Linked DNA regions of Schizosaccharomyces pombe. The gene in region 2 interacts genetically with the main gene of each other region. Each region holds a gene or a part of one and is shown on either strand. Other genes may lie near its edges.

Region 1 (5,452 bases), on a different chromosome or scaffold from region 2:
TCCGTTGCCAGCAAACTTGATATTTGTCGATTGGCTTTATAATCCGGGTCTAACTACTATTGAATGTTACTATTTTTGTTAAGTAAATATGCATATATAATATTTAGAAGTAATATATAAGATTGCAAATGAAACAACCCTTAAATAAATAATTGGTTATGTAAGCTTCTACCTATATTGGAACATTCACGAGTTTGAACGTCCAAAGTATTTAGACATAAGCAATGTTTATATAAGCTATTAGAGTGACAAAAAGCATATAAGATGTATGCAGTTTGCCTAAAAGTAGCTACATGGTTAATAACAAAAATTCGAGACATCCCAATCTTAATATAGAAAAGCAGTGCTAAAACTGTCACGGGTTCGAATACTAACAAATGCAATTTCAAATGTTTCAGAAAAATATGACAAATTATATGCTCTTAACAATTGAATATAACATTCTAAAAAAAAAAATTTATTTCAGCATACCTGTAAATTCGTAATAATTTTGTCACAAAGCTTACCAAGGAGTAATTGAGGTTTGGTAGGATACAATTGAGGGTTGGATATTAATTAAATTAAAAACTATATTTTAAAAACCGGAATTAAATTCATGATATTGTTTTATGCATCGAATAGCAAATCAAACAGGGATAAAGAGAGGTGAGAGTAGTTTAAAGACAAATCAAACTAAATGAAAATATGAGGATTTGTGAAGAGAGCAGCGTAATTAAACACGTAAAAATTAATGAGATTTGTATTGGAAAACGGTACTCACTTGCTGTTTTCCTGCCTCACGTTTTAGCAAGTGATCTTCTATTCGGTCTAATGTGGGATTTGTAAAATGATTCCATGTGCTAGTATCACCGTATAACATGGCTGGGGCTCGGATGAATTGTTTTCCATCACGACACCGTTTACATTTATATGTTTCATGAGTTTCACAGACTGTGTGATCGTTAAGCTGAAACAGCTGCCTTAAGTTATCAAGCGAAAAATGTCTTTCGACATCTTGAGCTTCATCCACAACACAAGAAGACAAAGATTGCTTATGAGACTGCCTTTGGAATATCTTTTCTTCGATGGTTCCAGTAGCTATGAAACGGTAAACAAAGCAGTCCTTCTTTTGCCCATCACGCCAAACTCGAGCTAAAGCTTGTTGATCGGCGGCTGGATTCCAATCGGGATCAAACAGAATAAGACGATTAGCGCCAATAAGGTTAATACCACAACCACCTGCTTTAGAAGATAATAAAAACACAAAAGCATCCTTTTCCGGGTCATTGAATGTGTCAACTAAACGTTGTCGTTTATTTACATTCATAGTACCATCTAGCCGAAGAGCCTTGTAACCGCGAGCTCTACAAAGCTGCTCAAACAAGTCAAGCGTGGAGGTGTAATTGCTAATTAAAACAATTTTATCGTCTGTCTCTTGTTTTATTTGATAGAGCATTCGTTCCAACACTAACATTTTACCTGATAAAGAGGAGTCAATGTTTCTATCGCGCCCTCTTAGCTCACGGGGAATAAATCCTGGAGGGAATAGAGCCTCACAACCTTCCAAGTCCTCAGTTAAATTCAATAGATCAGGATGATTACATATTTTTTTTAGCAGACCTATAGCTTTTAGTGGTTGACTGCCGGTCCCCCTTAAGATTTTATTGATTTCAGGCGAGGTAATAAAATGCTTGTACAAAGAAAGCTGAAATTCGGAAAGGTTGCAAAAGACAACATGTTCGTATTTAACAGGCAAATATTTGGAGAGAATATCATTCGTACGACGAATAATAAACCGATTGACAATCTTGGCTAACTCAGCTAACTTAGCATCACCATTCTCCTTATCTTTTTCTGTTCCGTCAGCATCACGACCTTTTAAAATTGGAATTTCATAATTTTTTCTGAACTCTTGCCTTGAACCTAACAACCCAGGATTCGCAAAATTTAACAACGAAAAGTATTCGCTTAGATCATTTTGAATAGGGGTACCAGAAAGGATGACACGCCTTTGAACGTTTAGCTTGTCTAATGCCGTAAAAGTCAAAGAATCACTATTCTTAAGACGATGACCTTCGTCACAAAGAAGCATTCCAATTTCTGCGTTGTTGAGATGCTCAACATAACTTCTAAGGGTTTCATAACTGGCAATAAGCACTGGACGTGTGACTTGTCGTCCATGTACGGATGCCCATTGTTGCAAAGCCATGATTAACTCCTGTTTGGAGCTTTTACCGTCCAATATGAATGGAGTAATAGCATCTTTTCCTAACCATTTGACAAGTTCATTAGCCCAATTTTTGACTAAAGAAGAAGGACAAGTTATAATTGCCTTTTCAATTGTCGGTTTTCCAGCCTGAGGAGACTGTTTTAAAAGGGTCCATAACAAAGCAATACATTGAAGTGTCTTACCAAGTCCCATCTCATCTGCCATAATACATCCATTTGCACAACGGTCAATCCTTCCAGTTACACACTTGTACAAGAATTTGACACCTTCTATTTGATGAGGTCTTAGAATACGAGCAAGTTTTGGATCAATGACAACAGCAACAGGAGGAGGTGGAGGTTTTTCTTTCTGAATTCCTAGTAGATCTTTCAAACTTTTATTTGGTCTTCTATGCTTTGAGGTATTAGAGGTTATGAGACTTTGCTCGGTAGAACAGCTAGCCACTGTGTCAGTGGAGACACATGAATCATGGTCACTTTCAGGCTCACTATCAGAAATTTCTTTCTTTCCTTTTCGATTTTTTAACAATTCATCTTTTTTACGTTTTTCCGCTAAGACCTCTTTTATATCAGGAATGATCTCATCTGCATCAGTAGTGGGATCATATAAAACGATAGCAAATTCATCAGCAGGATCGTAAAGGGGACGAGGAATAAAATCCACCTTCCTTTTCATTCCCAGTGTAGGAGGTGGACGATGTGCACACAGTTTAGATATATCTTCATGACCCTTGATAGGTTTAGGCACAGAGAACTGTTTCTTAATGACTGTTGAGGGATCTCGTCGTTCATGATTTAGTATTAATCGATTAGCTTCTTTGATGGTTGCCAACCCAGACACATTTTCAGATACGTAAGCTGAATCATACTTCCCATCAACAGAACCATATTCGCTGTAGTTAACTCTTGGCTTTTTGCGTAAAGGAAGCTCTTTTCGCTTTTCTGAAATCACTAAAGAAGGGCATTTAAACTTTTTAAACAACTTTCCAGGAACATTCTCTTTGTTTTTTGATAAAACAGTATTTAACTTTGAAGAAGTAGAAATTCTAGGTTTAGCAGTTGTTGGTTGCTGAATCATTAAATATATTAGCAATTATTAAAAAAGAGATTACTGAAATAGAAGAAAGGGTAGGAAAAGAGGGATAAGGATTCAAACAAAAAAAAAAGGAAAGTGCTGTTTATACCAATGGTATGTGTTGAGAAATATCTAGATGTATATATAAATTAAATTCTATTACTATTATAGCGTGTCGCGTTCTTTAAATTACGCACCATTGTTACCCTTCACTAAACATGGTATACAAATAATGAAATTGTGAAATATGAATCAATTATTTCTGGTATCGGCTAAATATGTGTTACAAGTTTGTTATTGGTAATAATTTTAGCTTCACTATCTAACATTTCTTGTAGCAAATTTTATGGTTTACTAATACTTCGAATTATTAGCCTCATAACATTTGCGATAAATCAAGTAACTATTTTAAACTAAAAGTAAAATAATAAAGCATCAGTCTCTAACAAAAACATTACGGGAAATAAAAATTAGCTAATCTACTATACTATTATATCTTCATAGTCAATAAACCCCCCAAAAAAACATAGTATTACTATATTAAATACATTCCCTAACATTTGACAAAAACCTCGAACTTTACTTCTTACCTCCATCCTTTTCATAGTTTTCTGTCTTCATATCGTTCAGACCCAATTCCTCATTTACTTGGAATGAACGTTCATACTCCTCAATAGTCATATTTGGATCTGGATCGGGAGCGTAATAATTCTGCAGATAACTTTGTGAAAGAGGATCATCTAAAATAAGAGTGAATTGAGTAGCACCCTCACGTGCAGCCGTCAAGTTGCAGAGAAATTGTTGCCAGTTAGCGACTTGCTCAGGAGTCATAGAATCGGTCTCCTGAGAAAACACACGGCCATATAACTCATCATAAACTTGAGCTAGAAGACCTTCAATGGTTGTGAATCGTCCACCCAAAGTACCTGGGAACAAATCAAGTCCAAGTTCAGGAATTTTAAGAGATGCGGTTTCAGATTTGAGAATATCACGGGATAAGTCCTCGGCATCCATGACCTTTAAAGTAATTTTTCGACCTTTGGGTGGAATTTCACCACCAGTTTTTACTTCGTTGGAACGATATCCACAACGATCACAAACAGTAGACATGATAATAACTTCTTTGAAATGGGGAATATCAAGCAACTTCATGTGGGTGTCACATTGATGTGAACAAGAGGGACAAGTTGCATGGAAGGTATGTACCTCATTGGGATCGACTTCCACAGCAGTAGCATCATGTTTAAGTGTATTAGAAGCGTTGTTTGTTTGTGTCTTGACGTCTTCAGGTTGATCAGTATCCACAAGACCCAGCTTCGTATTCTGCTCCAAAGTACGCTTGTAGCTAACCTGAGACCATCGGTCACCATCTCGGCCAGGTTTCATCTCGATCCAGCTGTTGCCCGTAATATCGTCAACTGTGATGGTAAATGGTACAGATCCAGAACGTAGACTATTCACTTTCTCAATGAAAGCATTTATTTGGTCATATAACTGAGGAGCAGACTCCTTACGAGATTCTTGTTCTTTACTTAAATCATCCACCACATTACTCAGAATCCCCTCAATGGTAGTTAACTGGCCTAACCTTCCCGGGATTTCTAGCTGAATTTCAGGAATACTGACAATAGCCTCCTGGCTCTTTACAACTGTCCGATTTAAATCTTCCTTATCCTCAACATGGAAAGTAATTTTGCTTCCTTCCGGTTGAATTGTCTCAGCGTGTTGAACTTGCGCATTCTTAAACCCACAATGAGGACATTCAAACGACATTAAAACAACCTCACGGAAGTATGGAATGACCGTCAACAATAATTTAGTAGTACCGTTTTTTCCACACTCCATACACAACGATTCGACTTCTTGAACACCATTTCCTTCCCTATCCTCAGCTGTTGACACATTTTGTGCAGCATTGCCAATACTTGTGAACAATTCTTCCTTTTTTTCTTCCGCCATGCTCTCAAATTTTCTTTTTAGCGTTATTTTGATTAGATGTGTTTAAGGACAAGTACAGAATAACTTGTACCAATATAAAATTTGTCTTCACTTGAATGGAAAAAATTTTCCTTAATGACCCAATATAAACTGTCTTTAATGAAAAACAAAATTAAAACTAAAGTAAAATATGGTAAAATGCAAAAATTTTACTTTTTTAAACCAAAATAT
Region 2 (4,885 bases):
GGCTTATAACTTTAAAAAACAATGAAATGGCGCTAGACTTCATAGTAATACCTCTCGTAATTTCATCTTCGCGAAAATCAAGAAAACGAACAGTACCAGCAAGTTTGCTAGATATGATTCCATTCGAAGCTAGTAAACTGTCTGCAAGGGTTGTCTTTAATTAATCATTAGCAACTATTCAAAAAAGTTTAAAATTGCAAAATTCATACCTTTCCATGATCTACATGAGCAAGTAATGTAAAATTACGAATATTTTCCTGATTTTTTTGTAAGGACACAAGCTTTTCTGGAGGAATAACAGGCATTTGCACTACTTCCCCTATGTATGTTGGAGGTCAACTGTAGTGACTAAGTAGGTTGAGATGTGAAACACCAAGACTAGAGTCCAAATCGAAAAAATGTTGAACATTCAAATACTACAGTATAAAAGGAATACTCATTCAACTATAAAACAACGACTAAAAGTTCGCGAGTAGCGATTTGAGATATATCAGAGATTGTCTTAGACATTTGAGGAAAATGGTTAAATTAACAACATAAACATATGAGTAATTTTGCAAACAAAATTTGAAGAAAACCAAAATAGCGATAGATAGAAAATGAAAGCTGAAAAGTTAATTAATTCTAACGGTCTATGGTAGACATCTACATAAATAATGATAACCAATGATATTTAACGCTGAATTTTTTATATTTTCAATAAATTCCGCAGAAAAAGAGAGTATAATTATCATAGTTTTAAAATTTCTGCCTTGGTTCGAAGCCATACACGATGTGAATAATGATTAGAAGAACCATTATCCCCGAGCTCTAATGGCGCGATAGTTAATTTTGCAAAAGTGCCCAAATTAATCCCTTTGGTCGCTTTACCAGGATTCAATGATACAACGTTTTCAACGTTCTATAACATTAGTTAAAACAAAGTAGAAAATTAACATACCTTTACGAAATAACGTAAATCACTTGGTAAAATTAGTATGTCCGGCATAGTATTTAGGAATTCACCAAGTTTAAGATGTGCGATATCTAAGTTTGAAGGGTTGCACTTTTCAAGAGAACCTCCAGGGAATAAGGGATAAAAATGCCTTTGGTGAAGTACGTGAGAAACCAAACGTGCAAATAAGTTACCATGAGAAGGTAGACGAAATAACTCTTCTCTAGATGTGTGAAGGAGTATATCGTTGGTTGACACACCAAAGACGACATCATTAATGGAAAACATGCAAGGATTCGGGAAGCATTTGAAGTTCTATGGATTGGTCAATAAAAATTATTATACAACTTAACATACAGATGGAAGACCTAAGGCCACCCGATTAAATGCATCCTGTGGCCATGCAGGATGATCTGAAGCAGCATCATTGATGTGAGGAATTAAAATACAAGGACAAGTTAGCTGGCTTAATATGGGTGTGACACGCTCTTTAAACAACTCTTCCAAAGAAGTCGCAGACGTTCCTGTAATGTTTCCGGTACGTATTAGTATATGATTAATATCCAAGAATGGACCACATAGAATAACCAAGTCAACAGGATTTTTATTTACATATGAAATCATTGATTTTAAAGGGGAAAAAGAGAGATCATCACGGAGAGACCAAGGTCCAGATGCAATATATATAGAAATTGGCTGATTATTTGTATTAGCAACAAAGGTAGCGTGCTCCTGTTTAGATGAACTTGGGAACGGCAAAGGAGGTATAGGAAGGATTTCCTTGGCGATAAACATGTTACCGCTAGGATTGGATCCTTTAACTGAAACAATTTGACCAGGAAATATTGAGTAACTTGGTAGATCATCCACCTTCAAACGAACTCGAACACCAGCGCCTAGACGTCTTGAACTTTCAAGTAAAATGCTATTTTGGTTGAGTCTTCCACCTAAATTGGTACTTTCGACAACAATTCGTCCTACAACTACAACGGGTTCTTGAGTAAGTTCGCTAGGATTTGCCAAATCTTCATCACTTATGTTGTATTTTCTGCAAGTTAATGCACTAAAAAGCTCAATGCGATCATCCAGAACTTCAGAAGAATCATAAAGCTTTTGATACATGATCCTGTAATTAAATGCCTTGAGATCAAAATTCGCTACGATAACCAGCTTGGATGGAGCTGAAGGTTTTGAAGTTACAATTTTTAATTCTTTATTTAAAACTTCCAAAACCCTTCCAGCGTCACTGGAATTCAATTCGAAAGTTTCGGTAGATGGTTTAGACTCTTGCATCAACGAGTCGCCTGATGCGGTGGTCTTCACTGGTAGACCTAGTCTAGATATTTGTTAGTTAAAACCATTTGCTAATGTACGCACATGCTATCAATATTCATTCCCGGGATTTGCTTTATCGATTTTCTTTCAGGATTCTGTTTAAGTGTGGCTTTTACCTGCCTCTCCATTTGAAATTTCATGTCTTTAGCAAAGGCCTTGAATGTGTCAAGGTCGAGTTTTGGTGTATTTCCTCGTTGCAAACACCAGGACTCCCACTTGTAGAACATTGTTTGCTCGTCCATATTGCAAATTTGGAGAAGTTTATTTCGCTCATCTAGCAATTCCTCATCATCGATAGGAAATTCCATTTTTTTGAAGATTGAATGAAGTTGAAAATGAAACAAGATACCCAAAAAAAAAGACAGTAAATGAATACCTGGGAATATTACGAGCAAATTAATTTGAAGTGACTAATTTTGTACTGTGATGTGGGTCCTGAAAAAGAAATAAATAAGAATAAAAAATACAAGTACACGTACTAGCAATCCCAGTCCAAAAGTGCCCAGTGATAGATTTTCGAAGTTGCTTTTTTTAATTTGTTTACGCGATTCCAACCTAACAACAGATAGAAAAAACGACGTATAGCAGAAAGTTCAACCACTTAAAGAGGTACCCACCAATAATTATGAGTAAACCTTTTTAGGATAGGAGAGTGTATCTTCTTAAAGCAACTACTTAAATCGCTCTTCTAATAAAAACTCGGATATACTGGGACGCTCCGTGGATACTGTGGAGAAACGCAGTAGTATGTGGTTTAATGTGTTTTTTAAACCTCCTTAAACATTTAACGAGATGCTTTTACTATGTAATATTAGTTTACTGATAAATAGTGTAGTATGTATTTTTTTTGTTTTGTCAGCTGAAACTAAGCTATGTTACAATGTGTCCGAGTATCACTATATGTCACATGTTGTAATGTTCTATTTGCTCTATCTACTTTACATGGTAGGTTAAAAAGACAGCTACAGTACCTTTTATGATAATATAAATATCAGTTACAATTAAAGACTTTTTCAAATACTATAAACTGAAATCAACTGAACTTCGTTCCTCAGTTCGGTTATAAGCTACATTAGTGATAACTAACAATAGACCTACATAACAGAATACATATACCCAGCTGCTACTTAAAATACCTGTTTATTGCAATATAATTGATCACGAGGAAAACTCACTGCAATCCTAAGTATCGTTAAATATTATAAACTGCGTAGTTGACATTCGCTATACAGAACAGGCTTGCAACTACTTGACTAGACAATATGGATTGTACAAAGTGAAGTAGAAATATGTTTTATATTTTTTCTCTTTTTTTCTCTTTTTTTTTCGTTGTTTTTTTTTTTTTTTTTTTTTAAACTATAGGAATTTTTGCTAATTAATAGGATCCAACCCTATAGCTCAATTCAGCATATTCGATTTCTTTTTTTTTTGGCTAATTTGTTTAATTTTCAACTTAAAAAAAAAAAAAAGTAACCCAAAATAAAATAAAATGCAATAAAAAAAATAAGAAGCCAAACAATAATTTAAAAAAAAAAAACAATATCTAAGTTAAAAATTATTTCGTTTTCAACTCAATAAATATATACTGGAACATTAAGCTATGTGAAAGAACAAATCTTCTCATACACTACTAAATGTTTCCCATGGTGTTTGAGTTTTTCTTTTTTCATCAAAGAAATTATTTAATAATACAACTAACATCGTCAGCAATAAGCCTGGGCTGAACGACCGTCTTGTTTACAAAAGCTTTAGAAACTTTCCGATACTATGGAATGTCAGGTTTGCAAAGTAACAGTTTAGCGGAAGCAGCAAGATAAACAATTAATCACGGAAGAAAGTGATTTTGACTTTCTGAATCAGATGTTTCGTGGTAATAGAGGGCTGGCTATTAAGAATTGGTAGCAAACTCAATACGTATATAGCAGATGTATATATAGAGAATGAAAAGCCCAACTTTTTGTAATCATTTTAATCGGTGATATTTTATCTACTAAAGAGAGCTTAGAAGAAAAGACACTAAAAATAAAGCAACAAAATATAGAGTATGATTATCAAAAAAAATAAAGATATGTTTCAATAAAGGTGTGAAAAAGTACTAAAAAACAAAAAGCGAAAAAGAAAAAAAGGATTACACCATCTATACTTGATAGGCAAGCCCTACGTATTGTATTTATTCTTTACTCTTTAAGTGTTGCCCCGTCAGCAGTCTATTCATTTGCTTTCATATAAAATGGGTAGGATGATGGCCTTTTGATTGTATACCTCAAAAGCAATTGCTGCTTGTATAGTTAATCCATCTTAATTTTCAAGGAATGCTATACACTAAAAAATATTGCGAGCTTACCACAAAGATCGATATTACATTTTTACACACACGTAACGTTCAAATCTACCGAGATCACTGTCTGTATTAGTGAAACCCATTAATTTACTTTATACTAAATAGCGATGCCTAATCCCTACGCTCTTTAGCATCCTTCGTAATCACCTTGGTTTCCCGCATGCTCCGCGCAACTGGTTCCCGCCAATGGCGATCGTTTAATGACTTTCAAATGACATCAGCTACCTCGTGTCGAGCGAGTATCCTTCTAGCGCAATATGACGAATGCTATCGCC

The links. A genetic interaction does not mean that the proteins touch.
Region 1: of spb70 (region 2) and rad54, a mutation in one rescues a mutant of the other (synthetic rescue), as found in Schizosaccharomyces pombe (one study listed by BioGRID).

What each region holds. Positions count from the first base shown.
Region 1 is NC_003424.3:3,679,860-3,685,311, forward strand, and holds rad54 (DNA repair protein), read right to left. Parts: upstream 3,407-5,452; 5' UTR 3,287-3,406; coding exon 728-3,286; 3' UTR 501-727; downstream 1-500. Other genes in the region: EF-1 alpha-binding zinc finger protein Zpr1, read right to left, coding at 3,863-5,242. UniProt on the Schizosaccharomyces pombe protein: Plays an essential role in homologous recombination (HR) which is a major pathway for repairing DNA double-strand breaks (DSBs), single-stranded DNA (ssDNA) gaps, and stalled or collapsed replication forks.
Region 2 is NC_003421.2:285,332-290,216, reverse strand, and holds spb70 (DNA polymerase alpha B-subunit), read right to left. Parts: upstream 2,989-4,885; 5' UTR 2,578-2,988; coding exon 2,312-2,577; exon of another isoform or gene 2,271-2,311; coding exon 1,292-2,270; exon of another isoform or gene 1,250-1,291; coding exon 941-1,249; exon of another isoform or gene 902-940; coding exon 731-901; 3' UTR 513-730; downstream 1-512. Other genes in the region: GTPase Ria1, read right to left, coding at 1-154, 210-305. UniProt on the Schizosaccharomyces pombe protein: Accessory subunit of the DNA polymerase alpha complex (also known as the alpha DNA polymerase-primase complex) which plays an essential role in the initiation of DNA synthesis.